3 linked regions of the Arabidopsis thaliana genome follow. The protein of the gene in region 1 interacts with the protein of each later gene in a pairwise test. Each region holds a gene or a part of one and is shown in the gene's direction. Other genes may lie near its edges.

Region 1 (9,040 bases):
AAGTTGAATCATACATGTGGTTCTGCAGATAGTTGGGTTGATGCTGAGAGTAGTGGTGATATGTTTTGTTCACCAGGTTCATATTGCCCAACAACGATTCGAAAAGTCACTTGTAGTAGTGGGTATTGATTCTTTTATCTCACAACTCTTGTTACTTTTTGAAAATTTGTTTCATATATGAAATATTCATCATTAAGGATGTAATTAATGTTTTTATGTATTACTTAGACATTACTGCAGACAAGGTTCTACGTCACAGAAACGTAAGTTTCTAAAACACTAAAACCTAAGAAAATGAATTGTTTTATAATATCATTATCATTCATTAATTCTCTTTTTGGTGACCGTTTTAGCATGTTTTAAGCTCGCAACATGCAATCCGAATACCGCAAACCAAAATATTCATGCCTATGGAGCGATCTTAATTGTAAGTTGTTAGTTAATTAGAATACATTTTGCTTTAAAATTTGTTGGAAATTATATTTTCGTTATTGTATATATAGGCATCACTAAGTCTTCTCATGATCATGGTTTATAACTGTTCTGATCAAGTTCTCGCCACTCGAGAAAAAAGACAAGCAAAGTCGAGAGAAGCTGCAGCGAGACATGCAAAAGAAACAACACAAGCTCGAGAAAGGTGGAAAACCGCAAAAGGTGTTGCCAAGAACCAAAAGATGGGATTGTCTGCACAACTATCTCAAACATTTTCTCGCATGAAATCTGCTAGAAAGGATGCCACACCAGTTAAAGCATCGGGAAAGTCAAAAGACAAGAAAAAAGAACCGAGTAATTTAACCAAGATGATGAAATCAATGGAGGAGAACCCGAGTAACAACGAAGGATTCAATGTAGGAACCGGTAGTAAACCTGGGAAGAAGCCACAAGCTCCAAAGGGTAAACAACTACATACCCAAAGCCAGATTTTTAAGTATGCATATGGTCAGATTGAGAAGGAGAAAGCTATGGAACAAAACAACAAGAACTTGACATTCTCGGGAGTTATTTCAATGGCTACTGACACTGAGATGAGGACTAGACCTGTTATAGAAGTCGCGTTTAAGGATCTAACTCTTACATTGAAGGGTAAACATAAGCATATATTGAGATCTGTCACCGGAAAGATCATGCCAGGTCGTGTTTCTGCGGTCATGGGTCCATCAGGAGCTGGAAAAACTACATTTCTTTCTGCCTTGGCAGGAAAAGCAACTGGATGTACGAGGACGGGTCTAATCCTTATAAATGGTAGAAATGACTCTATAAACTCGTATAAGAAGATCACTGGATTTGTGCCACAAGATGATGTTGTGCATGGCAATCTTACCGTCGAAGAGAACCTTCGATTTAGCGCAAGATGCAGGTAAATTTATTCTCATATCATAGAGGAGATTGAGAGTCCAATTCTTAAAAAAATACATTTTTATTACATAGTGTTTATGCTTCAAAAAAATGTTGCATATCATTTATTTATATATGTTTCTTTACATGCAGATTAAGTGCTTATATGTCAAAAGCAGACAAAGTTTTGATCATTGAAAGAGTGATTGAAAGCTTAGGATTACAACATGTAAGAGACTCGTTGGTTGGTACGATAGAAAAAAGAGGAATCTCTGGAGGACAAAGAAAACGTGTGAACGTTGGTGTTGAAATGGTCATGGAACCTTCTCTATTGATATTAGATGAACCCACTACAGGTTTAGATAGTGCATCTTCACAATTACTTCTTAGAGCACTTCGACGTGAAGCACTTGAAGGTGTTAACATTTGTATGGTCGTCCATCAACCCAGGTATGTTATCTCCTCCATGAATTATGTTACAATTTTATGTTAAGAAATACTTTTTGCTTAATAATTGGTTTTTTCCTCTTATTAGTTATACAATGTACAAAATGTTCGATGACATGATAATACTAGCAAAAGGTGGTCTTACCGTGTACCATGGATCAGTCAAAAAAATAGAAGAATATTTTGCTGATATCGGAATCACGGTTCCCGATCGTGTCAATCCTCCTGATCATTATATAGATATTCTTGAAGGCATTGTGAAACCAGATGGTGATATAACTATAGAACAACTTCCTGTGAGATGGATGCTGCACAATGGTTACCCTGTGCCTCACGATATGTTGAAATTTTGTGATGGACTTCCTTCCTCGTCAACTGGATCAGCTCAAGAGGATTCCACTCATAATTCTTTTAGTAATGATCTATGGCAAGATGTGAAAACTAATGTGGAGATTACAAAAGATCAGTTACAACACAATTACTCGAATTCTCATGACAATTCTAATCGAGTAACTCCTACCGTAGGTCGACAATATAGATATTTTGTTGGAAGGTATGATTTTTCTAGATTTGATAGATGGAATTTTGTGGTTAATTTCATATGTACATTAAAACTTTAGTCTATCTATTTCAGGGTTGGAAAACAACGGCTTAGAGAAGCAAGACTACAAGCGTTAGATTTCCTAATATTATTAGTTGCGGGAGCTTGTTTAGGAACTCTTGCGAAGGTGAACGACGAGACAATCGATACACTTGGCTACACATACACCATAATAGCTGTCTGTAAGTTTCTTACGTACACAAATATTAATTTACATTTACTAGTATTCGCGATTTTTGGAACGTTAACTAAGCTCTTTTCTGTATGTCTTTCTTTTTTTGTAGCTCTTTTGTGTAAGATCTCGGCATTGAGATCATTCTCTGTAGATAAATTACAATATTGGAGAGAAAGTGCCGCTGGAATTAGCAGTTTGGCACATTTTATGGCTAAAGACACAATGGACCATTTAAACACAATTATGAAACCTTTAGTGTACTTGTCCATGTTCTACTTCTTCAACAACCCGAGATCTAGTTTCGAAGACAACTACATTGTACTAGTATGCTTGGTCTACTGTGTAACAGGCATGGCTTACATTTTTGCCATATTGTACAGTCCTAGCGCCGCACAATTGGTTTGTCCTCACTTTCTCATAATTCATATATGAAGGAACCAAAATTTTCACTAACCATATGGTACCTGAATTTGCTGTTATGTTCTTGCAGTTGTCGGTGTTAGTCCCCGTTGTTATGACTCTTATCGCTAATCAAGATAAAGAAAGCATGGTCCTTAAGTATCTCGGAAGCTTTTGCTACCCCAAATGGACTCTCGAAGCCTTTGTCCTTTCCAATGCTCAAAGGTAGAAAGTTTGAAGATTTAATTCTTCTAACACATAATCAAATCTTAATTCAGAAAATTTGATTTTGGACTCTTTTTTTTGGGTTAGGTACTCTGGAGTGTGGGTGGTGACTAGATGCAGTTCATTGTCTCAAAACGGATATGATCTTAGTGATTGGATATTGTGTCTCATTGTTCTCGTTCTCATGGGACTAATATGCCGATTCATAGCTTATTTCTGCATGGTTACATTCCAGAAGAAATAATCTAATAATTACACATGATTAAAAAGCTTACATTTTGTAAAATTCTTCTATTTTTCATACGTTAAATATTAAATGAGTTATATAAGTAGTTTATAGAATTAGAGAAGAAGGGATTTTAGAATTCCAATTTTGTAATTTTTATTTGTAGATAATGGTGATTATTCATCATGCTTTTTCTTTCTTTATATGGTAACCGGTTTTGGTAAGATAGAGTCATACAGAGAATGATATACAAAGAAATCGGTTTATTTTCAGTTACGATTCTTTGGTTTATATGATCCGGTTTAATTGGTTACTAAGATGATGTCGGAAAGAGAATAGGGAAGCGGCGTAACTAAAAAACACGACACGATGATGAATTCGGCGTTTCGAAACGTTCACATCACTGCGTCTCGTTTGATAAACCCTAAGCCCTTTTCTTCTTCGATTCTCCATTTTCTTCCTCTCTGTTCCGGCGACGCTTCTCCTCGCCGTTCCAATCCTCTCCGGCATAGAAACTCGGTGTCTCCTTCATCTTCCTTTCCCTTCTGTTCGACTTCTTCCTTTTCTTCTTTCTACATTCCTATGGCGGGAGGAGATGGTCAGGTGTCTCATTCGCTTGAGAAGCAGTTCGAGAGTTTCCGTGTTCAATTGGAAGAATCTGCAGCTTTGAGAGAGCAGATTCGTGCTGTGGTTATGGAGATTGAGTCTGCTACTAGGCTTATTCAAGCTAATCTTCTTCTCGTTCATCAATCGCGTCCTATTCCTGGTAAATGATTAGTCTTTAGGTTAAAAATTGCATCTTTTAGCTAAATGTTTGAAATGGCTTGATGGGTTCAGAACTTGGTGATGAAGTTCTCTATGAAGGGAAGTAACTAAAAATGAAGAACTTGTTGAGAAAAGAATGAATATTGAATTACACATAGCCTTTGTTCTTTTAAGAAATTCATTGGAAGTGTTTGGTTGTTACTAATATAGATTGCTCGTTTTGTTGATGGATCAGAGGTTATCGAGAAAGCTAAGGAAAAAATCGTTGATTTGAAGCAGTATTATGGTCGGCTTGCTGAAATTCTTGAGGAGTGTCCTGGACAATACTATAGGTAAGTTTGAAAGCTATGTGTAGTTAGATTTTCTTTATTTGCAATGGTTTTTTGTTAAAAGGTTTTTGTAATGTAGGTACCATGGAGACTGGAGAAGTGAAACACAGGCAGTGGTCTCCCAGCTTGCTTTTATGCACTGGCTAGAAACTGGAACTCTTCTCGTGCATACCGAAGCTGAAGAAAAACTTGGGTGTATGTCTCTGGATCTCAATTTACTATTTTCCTTACTTCCAAATACTGAAATACATATCATGGCCTAGTGGTTGCACTATAAATAAAACCTTATTTTGTTTTGCTAGTTCTCTCACAAACTTTTGTATAGAAACTTCCTTCCCACAATAGGTAACAACTGAGCTGGCAGTAGGCAATCAATTTGAAATCCGTTCATGACTCCAACATACTATACGTGTTATCCTGTGACCCTCCTTTTGCCTGACCTGTCTCAGTTGGAAAAACTAAATGAACGAGTTTTCTACTTTTCTCAATAATCAGATTCAGTTTGCCACTAGTCTTCTTCTCTTATCAGTATGTTAATTAGTCTACCTTTTCTTGCTCGTTGTTATTGATTTTGTCCTTAGGCTTTGTTTCAGTCTGCATTTTATCCACTGTAGTGTCAACCATTTAGCTAAGATTTGATTTTTTCACCTCAATAGAGTTATTAGTTGCCGTTTCCCATGAACTCAGTTATTCTCCCTTAGGATGGATGGATGATAATTGGAAGGTTGGTTTTTCATTACGTTGGTGTAGAATAGATATTTGCCCAAGTGTCGTTTTGTTTCAAATCTGGGTTTTGTTATCTTGTCAAATCAATTGTCTTTGAGTAAAATAAACAGAACAAGGTGTTGGTCAATTCATCTGCCATTATGGCTCTTCTAATTCCACTTCATTGTACTTCAGTGAACAGTTTGGAGTTTGGATTGGAGACAGAAGATTATCTCACTGGTAAGTTTCTGAGAAAGAACCCATATTTGCTCTGGAAGGCCAATATCTATAGATCAAATATGCCTTACGAGCATTTTATGAATCGCAACATTGCTTTTATATTCTCTGATCTTCAGCTTTTTGAATACTTTGCAGGAATTTGTTTCATGTCAAACGATTTGGTAAGATCATTTTTATCCCTAAATCTTACTTTCCATCTTCCCCCTTAGCATCCTACTTGATAGCAACTTATGAAAAACCTTTGGATAAATGCAAATGGGTGATGCAATGTTTGAGCAGCCTAGGTACGTGGTTAATCGAGTGACAGCAGGAGACTATGACTGCCCAAGAAAGGTGATGAATTTCCTGACAGATCTTCATGCAGCCTTTCGCATGCTCAATCTCAGGAACGATTTCCTGCGCAAGAAATTCGACAGTAAGTCATACATATCTCTAACTGCTCTTCTTTCTCCATTTGCGATGGTTACATAAAAAAAAAATCGATTTTGACATGTGACAGGTATGAAGTACGACCTAAGAAGAGTGGAAGAAGTTTACTATGATGTCAAGATCCGAGGTTTGATTTCCGGCGGAGATCCTCCTGGCGTCCAAGCAGTCCAAGGCCAATCCTAAATGTCCTCGGCTCTTTTTAAGTTTTTATGTATAACTTTGTTTAGCTAGCATGAAAACGTCAAGGAGTGTTCTTCTCTAAACCAAAAACGGCAAGGAAAATAGAGAGACTGTAGTTTTTAGGTGTAGTTTGCAATTACTGAAAACGGCAAGTATTCCTTTTGTGGGCCTTGAAAGCCCACATTTTAGTCACAACTTTACTGTTATCCGAAGTCAGCAGCTTAATAGTATAACAGTAGATGTTCATGAACTCCACCTGTCCATCGTTGCGGACTTGAAACGCACGTTATATTTGACGGTGTCTTACGTCATTTTGGATTTCAAAACTAAATAAATCAGCTTTTGGAATCCGAAACAAAGACAAAAAAACAAAATCCAAGTCTAACAGTCGCCATTTCCCCTCCTGCGTCAGTGTTCTTCGTCTCCTCTCGTCGTCTCTCTTTGGTATCTTTTTTCTTAGCTTCGAGTACTATTCTTTTCGCTGACATTGTGTTAGATTCTCTCTTGAACTTGAACGATCTCTTTTCCAACACAAATGTAATGTATGATATCGTTCGATTTTTTCTCGGATTGTTAGTTTCTTCAAATTGCAGGTGTTTAGTTAAAGGAAGGGGATAAGCTAAGCAGCTGGATTTTCTTTTCTTTTCTTTTTTTTCTTCCCTGGAAAGTTATATTTTTATTATTATTTTCTAATGTAACAGCTGTGAGTCGTCTCTATGGCCCACATTATACGTATATTTCTTTTATGTTTTTTTTTTTTTTTCTATATTGCATTTGCATTTTGAATGTTGTGATAAACATTTAAAACATTGACGCTTCTGTAGCTGCTGAGAGTTTTGATTTTTCTTTATTTGTGTTTATCTATTCTGTCAATGAGACTGAGATCATCCGACAGAAATTTGTCTGGCTACTCTGTTTCTTTATACTGTAATTGCATAGAATGTCTGTCCTCTGTTCTTAAGTAAATCTTATATTACTTATTTATATATTTTCACTAGATTTGAGGCAAATTAATGTTTTTTAATTTGGAGAGAACATGTTTCATGTTGTGAATTTGTTTATTAGTGCTTAAAAAACATGGATGAATCTAATGGATTGGGATAACATGCATATATAGAGAGAAATGAGATCTAGTTTCGTGAATGTAGCATGTAAGTTAGATTGGTTTATGGGCAACATTGTCCGGTTCTGTTCAATTATTGTGACATATACTTGGTTCTTTGCAGTGTAAAAACTTGGACCTTGACTTGAAATGGGACCTTTTGGGATGGAAACAACACCCGGTTTTCCTGATACTTTTGCTGGATTCAAATCTGCCAGTGTGAGAACATCTTCTTCTTCATCACTTGTGTGTTTCTTGGTTTTCTACATTTGGATGATGAATTTATTACATGACTTTTATATATTTTCTTTATAGGTTGATGAGAATCTTGGCCATTCAATGGAGGATAAAATGAGTGACATGAAGCATTTCCTAATGGATCCTCATCATGATAATACCGCGGTGGACAGTTTCTTAGGTCTTGGTATGGAGAATATGGGCTTAACCTCCAAGATGGAGGAGTTTTCACATGGATTTGACGTTAGCTTTCTCCCAGATTATGGTAAGTCGATTCAAATGCTCTTTATGCTGAATGGCTTTGTAACATTGTAAATGGGAGTATGGTTAATGTTAGAGTTCTCTTTCATTTTTTCTAAGGTGGAGTTAACACTTTTAGCACTCAAGATGTGGAAGCAGGTTTAAAGTTTGAAGTATGTGTTCTCTTTATGCACTCCTTTACATGGTTTTTTTTTCTTGGTCATTCGTGAAATAAAGTTTCTTCGTCATCTCGTAGATTCTTGATGGAATTCTGGATGGAGTTGATGAAGTGGAAGATATCTACGCATCACATGAGCTTTCTTCTATTGTTAACCATTTCCCTCCAGGTAAAATTTTTGTGATTCTATCATCCTGGTGCAACTGAGCAATCTATACGGTTCACAATCCATTCAATCATTTACTTGCAGAAACTGAAGTCAAGAAGAATGAATTAGAGGGTGACCCCTATGGTCTTATGAACTTCAGTTCAGAATCTTATTCTCCTGGAATTAGTGGAAGCATCGGACTCGCGGAGTGGTCAAAAGAAACTGTTCCATATGCTGAATCCCAGATTGTATCCAGCGAAAAAGTTAAAGATAGTTGGGATACAAATGAGTCAGAAGATGACAAGAAACCACTATCCACATTTATAGGCTCTTGGATTAAACGAAAGAATCGGAAACAGAAATTGCTCAACACCGCTTGTAGTAGGTAATCATCGGTGACTAAAGTCTTATTCTGAATATATAATCCCACTGGCTTCAGATTTCCTAGTGAAGCTCTCTTGTATAATGTTACAGATTAGATTCTTCTCGTGAAAGAAAGTCTTGCGAGTCCTATGACTTCAGGCCCCGGAAAGGACCTATGAAGAAATACATTCACACTTCAATGGTTTGTCTTACTCTCTAAGACTATAGAGTTTTCCCATTTTTTATAATCTATGTAAACCAAATACCATCTGCTATTGCAGGAGAAAACATTTTCTGATGATCAGCTTACTTTATCTGAGAGTGAAGATGACATTTCTGTAACAAAGACATCCAGAACCAAAAGTGACAGGAGAAAGAATCAGAGGATATGGACTCTTGATGAAGTAATGAATTTGGTTGATGGTATTTCTCACTTTGGTGTTGGGAAATGGACCGATATAAAGAACCACTTCTTTCATTATGCAGCACACCGCAAACCCGTTGATATCAGAGTATTTCATCATTCATTCACCTCAAAAGCAAGCTCTTCATTTAGTAGTGATTGGTGACTCAGTTCTTCTCCTCAATGCAGGACAAATGGCGTAATCTACTGAAAGCAAGTTATAACGAAAAGCATAACGATGGACAGGTTTGCTTTTTTCTCTTCCTTTGTCAACAAAAATTCATATTCTGAGAAATCCTCTGTAACACAAAGT
Region 2 (5,144 bases), on another chromosome or scaffold:
AAAAGAAGAATCTTGTTTTACCTGTTGAATCCAAGATAGACAGATATCATATAGAGTATGATCCAGGAGAAACTGTGCAATAGAATGGATAGCCTCGTTTCCCATATCACTCGATAGTTGATCAAGAACAGGACCGGTTTTGTCCATTAACTTGACAAGTAAATGGTCGTCTCCAGTAGATAATACCTCAGCAAATGCAGAATCGGTATCACCAACTCGAAGTGCGTGCACCGAATTACTCCAACAAGTCCAGATAGGGTCTCCCTGTTGTCCCCCACGGTTATCATCATCTTCGTCCATCATTGCTTCTGCTTCAGGAATAGATACTCGCCTATTCCTTGATGTTCCACAGTCTTCTCCAGCCACACGTATTGCTTCAAGAGTAGCTTCATCTTTTGATGCTTGCCACACGCTTCTAGCAGAAGGTCCTTCACCTAGTCTAATTGCTACAGAGCTTTTGTCCCAAGCTCTTCTGCTGTTACCTGATTGCTCAGAAGGACCAGTGCCACGTATCTTTCTTGTACTGGTCTGAGTGTTTCTAGAAGAAGGTCCATAGTTAGGACTATCCCATCCATCTACATCAGATCTCCATGATGCAGTCGCCTTTCCTCTCGCACCTGAAGCAAATTACAGTTTTCGAAATAATAAATATCTTTCTTCAAATGGATGCAACAAGTAGAATTGTTTTAACAGCGCAGGTCATGCAGTTATACGTACCTGATTGTATGGACATTTCTCTAGACATCTCTTCTACAATCCTCTCAAGACCTCTAACACGGTTCTCCAAACTTATCATGCCGTCATGTGAACCACCCATGAAATCCTGCAATGATAAGGATGCTACCTTTTAATAGAGAAACTTTTTAAAGTGAATCCCTATATTTATTTGAAATCGGATCAGTACCTGCAACATATTCATTATGTGGGTTTGTTGTCTCTCCAAGTGCAATAACTGTCTCTGTAATGGTGGCCAGTTCCCTCTGTTTTCAGATGTGTCCGCCTGGATTACTTCAGTATGATCTCCATCAAATGCTCTCAACCGTGATTCGCCTCCGTTCATTCTTTCATCAACCCATTTTTCTCTTGCAAAATCTCCAAAATGTCTTTGTTTGGTATGGACACCAGCAGTTCTGCACAAACCATTTGACCTACTCCTTAATACTGAAGTATTGGCGTCTGATTCATCCTCTGTATTTGAGTTCGACGAATTCTTTTGCCTAGAAGGAAGAATAACTTCAACTGGCATATCACCAGAACCTCTTTTTTCCAGTTTCTGAAAAAACTCTGGGTTAAGATCTTTGCCAGTCAACCGAGGTGCCTTCTTTCTCAAAATGAGAACTGCTTTTGAAATAGAATCTGAACTACTGCTCAAACCATCACAAGAGCCTTGCATCACTAGTCCTGCTTCCTCACATGAAACTGAATCAGTTTCTCCATTCCTTTCCAATATACATTGCTCAGATGACACATCCTTCTGGTCATCCATTGTTCCAGATTCACCTTTTCCAGCAATGTTCTTCCAGACGTTTAGTGCTTCAGACAAGCTTTCTCTAACAGGTTTTATCTGCAACCCAAAGAAAATGTAGCCACTTTTCAGAATGATGCAAAAACAATGTCGGAAAAATTAACAATGTAATTCCAGTCTAGCAGTTCCCTTCTTAAGCAATGGTGATATGGATATAACTCAGTCAAACTAAATTATCGTTTTTACATGCTAGCAAAGCAAAACATGCCTAAGCAAATTCTTTCAGCTCATCGAAAATCACAGTGTATAACAAATATCCGCCACTGCTATCCAAGCTTTTATTTTCAATCTAGCTTATATACCTTTGGCTCTGTTTAGTTGATCAGAAAATTATAACACAGCTATCACGATCAGCGTATACATAAGGTGCTGAAGACAAGGAAAGAGAATGGAAATAGCAATGTTTTAATAACCATTAAGAGTAATCTGCATTTCTTTTCTTGGTATCAATCTTATTTCTAACCTTGGATAGATATTAGCCAATGATTCCTCTACCAGAAATATCTCAAGAAAATATCATAGCTATTAGTACCTTATCAAAACGACATGCCTCAAGAGCTGTAAGAGTGGAATCTGTTTTGTCTGCAACCAAGCTACTAGAATGGACAGCCAAGGAGATTAAGACATCAGCAGCTGCTTTACGAGTAACCCAATTCGTACATCCAAGGCACTCGTGAATGCTGTGTAGCAATGATTCCAAGCTCTGTGGTGCAATAGCTCCAACCTGCAACAATTCCATAGCTCAAAATATGTAATCCATAGAGAGTACCCAGTAGATTTGACTTGACCACCAAGCAGACTAGAGATATATAGTGAAAATAGTAAGCATATCCCTTCACACAAACATGCCATTCCAATCTTCTTAGCATAGAAACACAAGTAGCCACAAAACTAGAGACGAAGCCAAACAAAATGCAGCTGAAAATTCAAGCAATGTACCACATTGCACAAACCTGGGACAAGCTTCCAACAACGGGTAAGAGTGAAGCCTTAGTAATGTAATTGGGGCTATTCAAAAGCTTGGAGATTCTAGGGCACAGTTTTTGAAAAGCTGCAACAGGAGGCTCCGTTGCTGAATCAATCATCTTCCCCATACAAATGGCAGCACCAGATTGTAAGCTTTTGTTCTGCTCCGCCATTGCTTCAAACAAGGGTTTAGCAAATAGCCCCACCAACGAAGACCCAACATAATTTCCATTCTCTACTTCCTTCTCCTTCAGAAACTGCGCAGAGAGAGAACCAATCGCGTCGCGACAAGCGTCGCGTACACCGTTATCGGCGTCCTTGAGACGCTTGACGATGTGTGAGATGATTTTGGCTAATTGTGAAAAGGAGAGATCGGTGTAAGAGAGGCAAAGAAAGGAGAGGAGACGAATTGATTCTCTCTTGACCGGAGCTTTAAGATCGGAGGAGGAATCGAAAAGACAATGGAGAAGCACGGGGAGGATTTCGGGTGAATCGGGGACGGAGACGACGATTTTCTCGAGATCATCTACAGCTATCTGATAAGTATCGCGATCACCGAGTCTAGAGAGAGAGGTTAAGATTCTCTGTTTCAATTCAACCATTGCTGAGTGAGACGAAACTGCGACGGAGGATCTGACGGAGAACGCAGATGAATTTGAAGAAGGTTTCATTGAAGTTTTTGAAGCGGTTTGTGATCGCATTTGAAATTGGTAGAGATAGAAATGAAGGAAGACTACATAGAGGAAACGATGGTGATGGTGGTGGGATTTTAAGTAGTGAGGGTTAGAGAGCTTTGTGAATCATTGAAATGGCTGGTTTTAGGAGATTTAGGGTAGATTCGATAAAAGCTAATGTTGAGTTTGGATGATGATGATGAATGTGAAGAAGAAATAGGTCAGAAGGAAGAAGAAGAAGACGTCTGGTTTTTTTCCGGCGACAATGCTGAAATTTTCTGTTGGGGTCTTGAGAGAGTGGAGACCACGTCTTTGCCATGTCATGCTTCGTTGTTGTTTTTTAAGAAAAAATGAAAAAATAGATTCTTCGTGGTTGTCACAAAAGAAAAAGGAAATAAAATCAGTATCTGAAATCTAACGGTGAAAATTAATCGATAAAATAAATAAAAAGATTTATAGTCTTTTTTAGATAGAAGGGAGAAAATGAGTGGATAATACAACCACTGAATCTGTTTTGCTTTAGTTGGAAGCATTAAGAGAACAGCCATGGCTTCTTCTTCAATCTCATTCTCCTGTGCACCTTCTTTGGCCACCTCACTCTTCTCCACCACTTCTTCTTCCCCAAGGCTGCTCTCCTCTAGATTTCTCGGAACCCGAAACTTAAAGCTTCGGATCCGACCTGCCAGACTAGGACCCTCCAATGGTTCAAGAACCACTTGCTGGTTCAAGTTCGGCAAGAATGGTGTCGATGCTGAAAATGCCGGAATCTATGGCAGCCAGTCTCGAGATGATTTCGACAGAGACGACGTCGAACAGGTTTTTCCCTTGACTAAGAATCAGATTGATTTATGTTTCGACCAAGAAGTCAGAAGACGCTTAGGTTGGATTCTGATGAATCAAATCGTCAAGTTTGCTACTTGAATTGCAATCTTTAGTTGTAGATGTGAAGAAGCATTACATAGAGCTACATTGAATATAACTTTTATGTATACATAAATATAAATTTTATGTGTTCGTGATGTTTTTTGCAGTATTTCAACTACATGGGTATGCTTGCAGTAGAAGGAACCTATTCAAAGATGGAAGCTCTTCTTAACCTAAACATTCACCCAGTTGATATCTTGTTGATGTTAGCCGCTACAGAAGGTGACAGACCTAAGATCGAGGAGCTTCTCAAAGCCGGTGCTGATTATTCGGTCAAGGACGCTGATGGAAGAACCGCTATCGACAGAGCCAACAGTGAAGAGATCCGTGATTTGATCCTTGGCTACTCGACTCAAAAGGCTTGACTCCGCTTGGTTTTAATACACAGGAACAACACAAGTTATGTTCTTGAGTTTTGAAATGTTTGTGTTTGCTAGAACAAACTGTCTTTCTGTGTTCCGCGGATGAGTAGATTATAAAATCCATCTTCTTCCTTTTTGTCTTTCTCGCCAGTTTCTTGTTTCTTCAATGGGGGTTGTTCTATGGTGTTTGGCGTTATTGCAGATGAAGGTCTTTTTACAGGTAGAAACGCTACCTTGGTTGCTCTGAATCTTGGTTTTACTGTGTCTCTGTTAATTTTTGCCGAGCTCACGGGATTTGTAGATTCATCTTCTACTTTTTCCATATCTTCTGTTTGGGATTCATCGTTAGTCTTGGAAGAGGCTGCTTCAGCAATGGGAGTCAAAGACTCTGTAGCAGTATCATATCCGTTTTCGTCTGCATCAGGCAGAGGAGAAGGTGTGATATCTTCTGCAATTGGACAATTTTCTATCAGAAGCATGAATCTTTCAGTGAAGTACGAAACAGAGAATTTATGTATCGCATTGCTAAGACCTTATGACCCATCTAAAACACTAAAATCATTGCAGTTCTAAACGAATATAAGCCTACTTAGGTGAAACCACCATACAGTAATTCTGTGGAGATTCTTACCTCCAAGAGGAGAAACAAACGTTTGATACTGAATTGAACAATCCTTAGTTGTAGTATCTTCT
Region 3 (5,164 bases), on another chromosome or scaffold:
TTATGGAAGTCCTATGATTTGAAGCGATTAGACATTTTTTCATGAAACAGAGGCAAATTTGGTAAGGGAAGCATTTGAGGTTTTTAATCCCTTACATATTCAGGAATATCCACGTTCAGAGAAAATGCAAGATTGCTTACCTGTGTGGCACTTGTCACTAAACTGCTTGCAAGATCATTGTTAATTGAGACAGGCAGAGGCGGCATCCGGCTGATGATCCCAGGCATCTCCTTCATGCTGCAGTAATAATAAGTAAAGAGTATAGTAAATCAAGCTTTCATAGACGAGAAGGTGAAGGACAACAGAGGAAATGTATCATTAGTGATTCAACCATGCTATTAGATCCACATACTCATTCAAGATGGCACTGATGTTATTTCTTGCCATATAAAACAGACTGACGTTATCCTGTGGCTGTATGCAGAAAATAGGATGTCAGGATGGGAATTCCATTACGAAAGGACAACAGCATGTATCCCAACCAAACAATAAGTTGCATTGAATAAAACATTGTGCATGTGAAAAATACATTCTACGATCTTTTTAAAGTCAATTTTCTGCTAATGCAATCTTTTTCTACCAGCTAGCATTTGGATCAGATACAAATCAATTACCTTGCACACAGAAAGGTTTGAGGAGATTTGACTGAAAGCTTGAGCATTCTGCCGTAGACGCTCCATAACCGCATCACTTAGACCTAGGAGAATAAAAGTTTGGAAAATATATATGAGACCGTAAAAATGTGACAGGTGAGAAAAAGGTATCAAGCTAACAAGATTGAGTTTTCTTGGCACAACTAAGGAGATGAGACAATAACTGAGAGAGTCCAGGAACTCTCCAACATCGATAATGCCTATATTCAGGCATGAACAAGATGAACAACAAATTGCCTAGTACATTTGATTGAGATTTCAAACAAGATGCAGTTTGTCTTTCTAAAATAATCTTTCTTTACAGTTACAACCTTTGCAGGAGAGGGAAGGAAATAATACCGACAATACTGTTACGGTGTTACCCAAATAGTACTAACCTTCAAAAGGCATGCGTGCACTCTGGCACATATGGTTCATGGCATATGTAGCATTTTGTTGTGGCTCAGTTGAGAACATGTTCAGTTTTGGGGGTAAATCCACTACCTAAATCAAGGAGAAATCAGTTACTTGTGTGTTGGGTATCTCAAGGAGAACAAATTTGTAGCTGTTTTGAACAAAAAACCATTTGTAGCCAATAACCTCTTGTAAAGCGAACTATAACCTAGGCCACCAACCGTTATCTGGTTATTTACTAACATTACATACCTTTCTATAACTAACCTTCGTGCCAGTACTATGTTCTTCCCCTTTTCTTCGCTTTTGCTGAAAAAAAGGATTTCAATCTTAGCCCAGACAAACTCAAAAGTCATGAATTTAAATAGTTGAAAGATATTAGATAGCAAACTGGCAGTTATTATTAATGTTAAAAAGGCCCCGTGTCAAGACTTATGTTTGTATGAGTCATATATCTGCTTGTACAACTCAAGTCATAAAAAATCTATCTATTTCTTCAGCCCAACTTCATAAAAAAAATATGACAGGATAGATAGTATGGATAAGCCAATAAGGTAATATTTGGCACTATAATCTGTCAACTTTTTTCCCCCATTTATTATATGAATCTTAACACTACAGTGTAGGCCATACTGCAGAGGATATAACCAATGTTTAACCATCGCTCATAGAAATCTTATCCTTCATAAAAAGTAACATATCAAAATAAACTTCAGAAAGTCGAAAAAAGCCCAAGGCTATCTGACATCACTCGTTTGGCGATATTAGTTTCAGGGTAACTACAGAAATCAAATCAAGCTTTAGGGTCAAATCAAGTTCCAACATGACTCCAGAGCTAACAGAAAGCCAGATCTATCGTCAGCAATACTTGTTATTACTCTCCTTGCACACTCTTAACCATACTTTAAACAACCTTTATGATATGGTAAGGTGTCTTTTCATCAATATAGCAATAGAACTTTAAGCCTACCTTATAGCCAAAAAAATATAAAAGAACTTTTCCCATAGGACTTTATCTTTAACAAAGCATACACCCAAAGTAGCGTCACTATGTTTTTCCTCCTTTTTTCATCTCCCAAGCTAAATGACGTTACCAAGATCTCTTTGAATAACAACTAATAAGAAGTCTGCAAGCCACTTATGAAACTTAATGACAATGCATTGGGAACTTACCGTCATCCATTTACATCTCATTGCTACATCCCGTACACTTTTATCTGGTAGAGTTGCTGCGATCTTTACATACTTTGTAACTTGTGGTTCATCTTTAAATCTACAAAAGACATGACAAAGGTTTTAGGCAAACAAAACAATAAAAGACAAACTCGAAACAACATAAAACAGCGCAAGGTAAGAAACTAACACAGAGAAAAACTCAGCCATCTTTCGTAGAAATTTTCTGATACAAAATACATCTATAAGAATCTGAATCAGCTTATGATTCCAGATAACAACACGAGCTATAACAGTTCATATGAAACATAAATGCAAAACCTTTTCCTTCATCTACATATAAAAATTTATCTACTCTAACATTGTATAATAGCTACGAAGTGAGAAAATTTGCAGAGAACGAAGAACAATGGAGAATAACAAAAATACTTACTTTGAAAGACCTTTCTCCAATATATATTGTTCCTCAACAGACCAATCAACAGCCAAAGAAGCTTCATGTTTGAGTCCAGTAACCGAAGTCGGAGAATTTACAGTAAGATGAAATCCAGAAGAAGCATTCATGCTCGAAGTCGCCGAAAACACTAAACCGGTCGTGCTAGTACTCGGTACGCAATAATTATCCATCGGAATCATCACTCAAAAGCTATTTCGTAGAGATTAAGTTGACCTACAACGAAGCACGCCCAAAAACATGTTCAATTTAGGGTTTTAGCAATTTCAGAATCATACGGAAAAAAATCCGATTAAAACCCAACAGAAACCTAAAAGAGCAAAACCTGAGCAAAACCCACCTCGGATTTAGCCAAAATAGAAGATGAGTATGCTTCTCCGTAGCTCGATAGATGGCGTCGATGCAAAAACCCTAAACCCCCAACGATTGGTGATGAAAGTAGAGATACTGAAATCGTGAAGCTACAAAATTCAGAGAGATCGCAATAGAGAAGAAGAAGATTGAAGAATCGTGATTCGATTCGCGAGAGAGTGGTGACAGCAAGATGATGCGAAGAACTTTCGAATTGCAGAAGCTGGCGAGGAGAGAGAGAGAGAAAATGGTGGTTTTGTTTTGTAATGGTTTTTATTCTATTAAGAAACAGAACCACTTTTTATTCCATTGTGGTGGTTTTGCTTTTTTGTTTTTGTCTAGTCCACTCTTTGAAGAAAGATGGTTTGTTCCTCCTTATTTTTTTAAACTTTTACTCAATTTTTGTGAATTACACAGTCACCTACACTTTGGAAATTCAGATATTTAAATTACAACAAGGTATTATAAATCATAAAGTTTGGTATCCATTTCACTAAGTGACATTTGTTTTTTTTGTTTTTTTTTACATGTCTTATGTGAGTTATGAATAATTAAATTTGTTTCAAACTTTTACATGTGTAATTTTATGATAAATCTTTTATTTACTTATATACCTAAATAATCAAGTTGAATTTGTGCATAGACAAAAATGAGACATCAAATTAGTTAATCGATAATAGTAGGATTCGCCGGGGAGAAGGAGAAAAAAAATTAGATGCATGGGTCTCAGGTTCGAGTAATAACCAAAATAACTACAACTTCATTTTTGCATAGACGTGGAGATGCTTTTTGGTTAGAAACCTCGACAACCACTAACGAAGATGAGGACAATGAAAACGTTGTGTTTTGACTTTTATGCCCCTCTAAACCCTAAATTCAATAATTTGGGTCGTCACTCGTCAGCAAGCTGGATCTAATCCACCACTCTCTCCAATTGTCATTCACTCCGGTTTTGCTATTTCCAAGGAGAGAAAGATGATAGCTGTGATCGGATTGCTTCTGGGTTTTCTAGTATCAGCATTGTTCTTAATCCAAGGAAAGCGAAGAAGAACAAACGACAATCAAGAGAAGAAGAGATCTAGCAGTGAGCCTGTAGAAGATGTGGTAAGACCAAAAAGTTACAGCAAGAGTGAAGTCGCAGTACATAACAAAAGGAACGATTGTTGGATCATAATCAAAGATAAAGTCTATGATATTACTTCTTATGTTGAAGAACATCCTGGTGGTGACGCTATTCTTGATCATGCTGGTGATGATTCTACTGATGGCTTCTTCGGACCTCAACACGCCACTCGTGTTTTCGACATGATTGAAGATTTCTACATCGGGGAACTTCATTAGTAAAAGCTTAAAGATTTGAGATTTGATTGAAGATTTGAGATTTCTTCTTAAGTAAGCTTAAAGATGGCTTTTTTAATTCTCTTCTCATTGAAGATTTGAGATTGCATTACCTTTTTGTCTTGCTAGTGTAACACTTCTTCTTCCATTGTATTGCCAAAGTTTCCTCCTTTCTCTTAATTTTCATGGTGAAGCTATGCTCTGTTTCAAGTGTTCTATGCTTAACTCTGTCTCAAGTGTTTTAAATCCATCAATTTTGAGTTTAATCTATTGAATTGCTTTATGGGAATCAATAGGATCATAAGAACATAACTTTTTTACTGCGATGAAGAATCATAATATTCGACAAAAAAGCATAACAGAGATCTCGAGTTCGAGTTCTATCTCTGATATAGACCTAAATCCCAAAGCATAAGCATTGACATCTGGTTAACCAAAACAAACTACCAACGTTCATATGATGAAGGTCTGCCTCCAGGACGGCTAGGACGGTCATAAGGACCTGGTCTGCTTCTGTAGGGTCTTCCCTCATCGCGTATCGGTCCCATATCTCCATATCTGTCACTTGTATCCCTTGCGTATCTGTCCCTGTCATAGCTTCTCTCTCTCCCGCGATATTCATTCTCAAGATGATGTTCAGGCATCCCATACCTATCACTCACAAAACGGTCTCCTGGTGGTGCGTATCTACATTGTTAATACATCAAAAGGTCATGACTTTCCTAAAAGAACACATGTTGGAACATTTATTTAGACCTGAGGACAAGAGCTACAAACCTCTCAAATGGATAGTGATCACGAG

The links. Proteins that work in one complex are often made in the same cells at the same time.
Region 2: the proteins of AT2G37020 (region 1) and GDC1 interact in a two-hybrid assay, tested with the Arabidopsis thaliana proteins (one large-scale study listed by BioGRID).
Region 3: the proteins of AT2G37020 (region 1) and CB5LP interact in a two-hybrid assay, tested with the Arabidopsis thaliana proteins (one large-scale study listed by BioGRID).

Annotation. Positions count from the first base shown.
Region 1 is NC_003071.7:15,542,734-15,551,773, forward strand, and holds AT2G37020 (Translin family protein), read left to right. Parts: upstream 1-3,680; 5' UTR 3,681-3,777; coding exon 3,778-4,174; intron 4,175-4,408; coding exon 4,409-4,505; intron 4,506-4,581; coding exon 4,582-4,697; intron 4,698-5,402; coding exon 5,403-5,447; intron 5,448-5,582; coding exon 5,583-5,608; coding exon of another isoform or gene 5,609-5,656; exon of another isoform or gene 5,657-5,726; coding exon 5,727-5,862; intron 5,863-5,946; coding exon 5,947-6,059; 3' UTR 6,060-6,304; downstream 6,305-9,040. Other genes in the region: NAP12 (non-intrinsic ABC protein 12), read left to right, coding at 1-122, 229-263, 354-427, 504-1,351, 1,483-1,785, 1,871-2,335, 2,417-2,565, 2,668-2,957 and 2 more; TRFL8 (TRF-like 8), read left to right, coding at 7,309-7,377, 7,474-7,660, 7,756-7,808, 7,892-7,982, 8,064-8,346, 8,436-8,526, 8,606-8,836, 8,917-8,973.
Region 2 is NC_003070.9:18,862,561-18,867,704, forward strand, and holds GDC1 (Ankyrin repeat family protein), read left to right. Parts: upstream 1-3,636; 5' UTR 3,637-3,711; coding exon 3,712-3,981; exon of another isoform or gene 3,982-4,196; coding exon 4,197-4,454; 3' UTR 4,455-4,522; downstream 4,523-5,144. Other genes in the region: AT1G50890 (ARM repeat superfamily protein), read right to left, coding at 22-617, 718-823, 905-1,564, 2,058-2,249, 2,479-3,192; AT1G50910 (uncharacterized protein), read right to left, coding at 4,523-4,899, 5,083-5,144. UniProt on the Arabidopsis thaliana protein: Involved in the import of light-harvesting complex proteins (LHCP) and subsequent routing of these proteins to the chloroplast signal recognition particle (SRP) pathway.
Region 3 is NC_003070.9:22,341,790-22,346,953, reverse strand, and holds CB5LP (cytochrome B5-like protein), read left to right. Parts: upstream 1-3,684; 5' UTR 3,685-3,999; coding exon 4,000-4,365; 3' UTR 4,366-4,664; downstream 4,665-5,164. Other genes in the region: AT1G60670 (hypothetical protein (DUF3755)), read right to left, coding at 141-237, 353-414, 615-697, 1,031-1,136, 1,299-1,355, 2,220-2,319, 2,653-2,855; AtRZ-1b (RNA-binding (RRM/RBD/RNP motifs) family protein with retrovirus zinc finger-like domain-containing protein), read right to left, coding at 4,806-5,049, 5,140-5,164.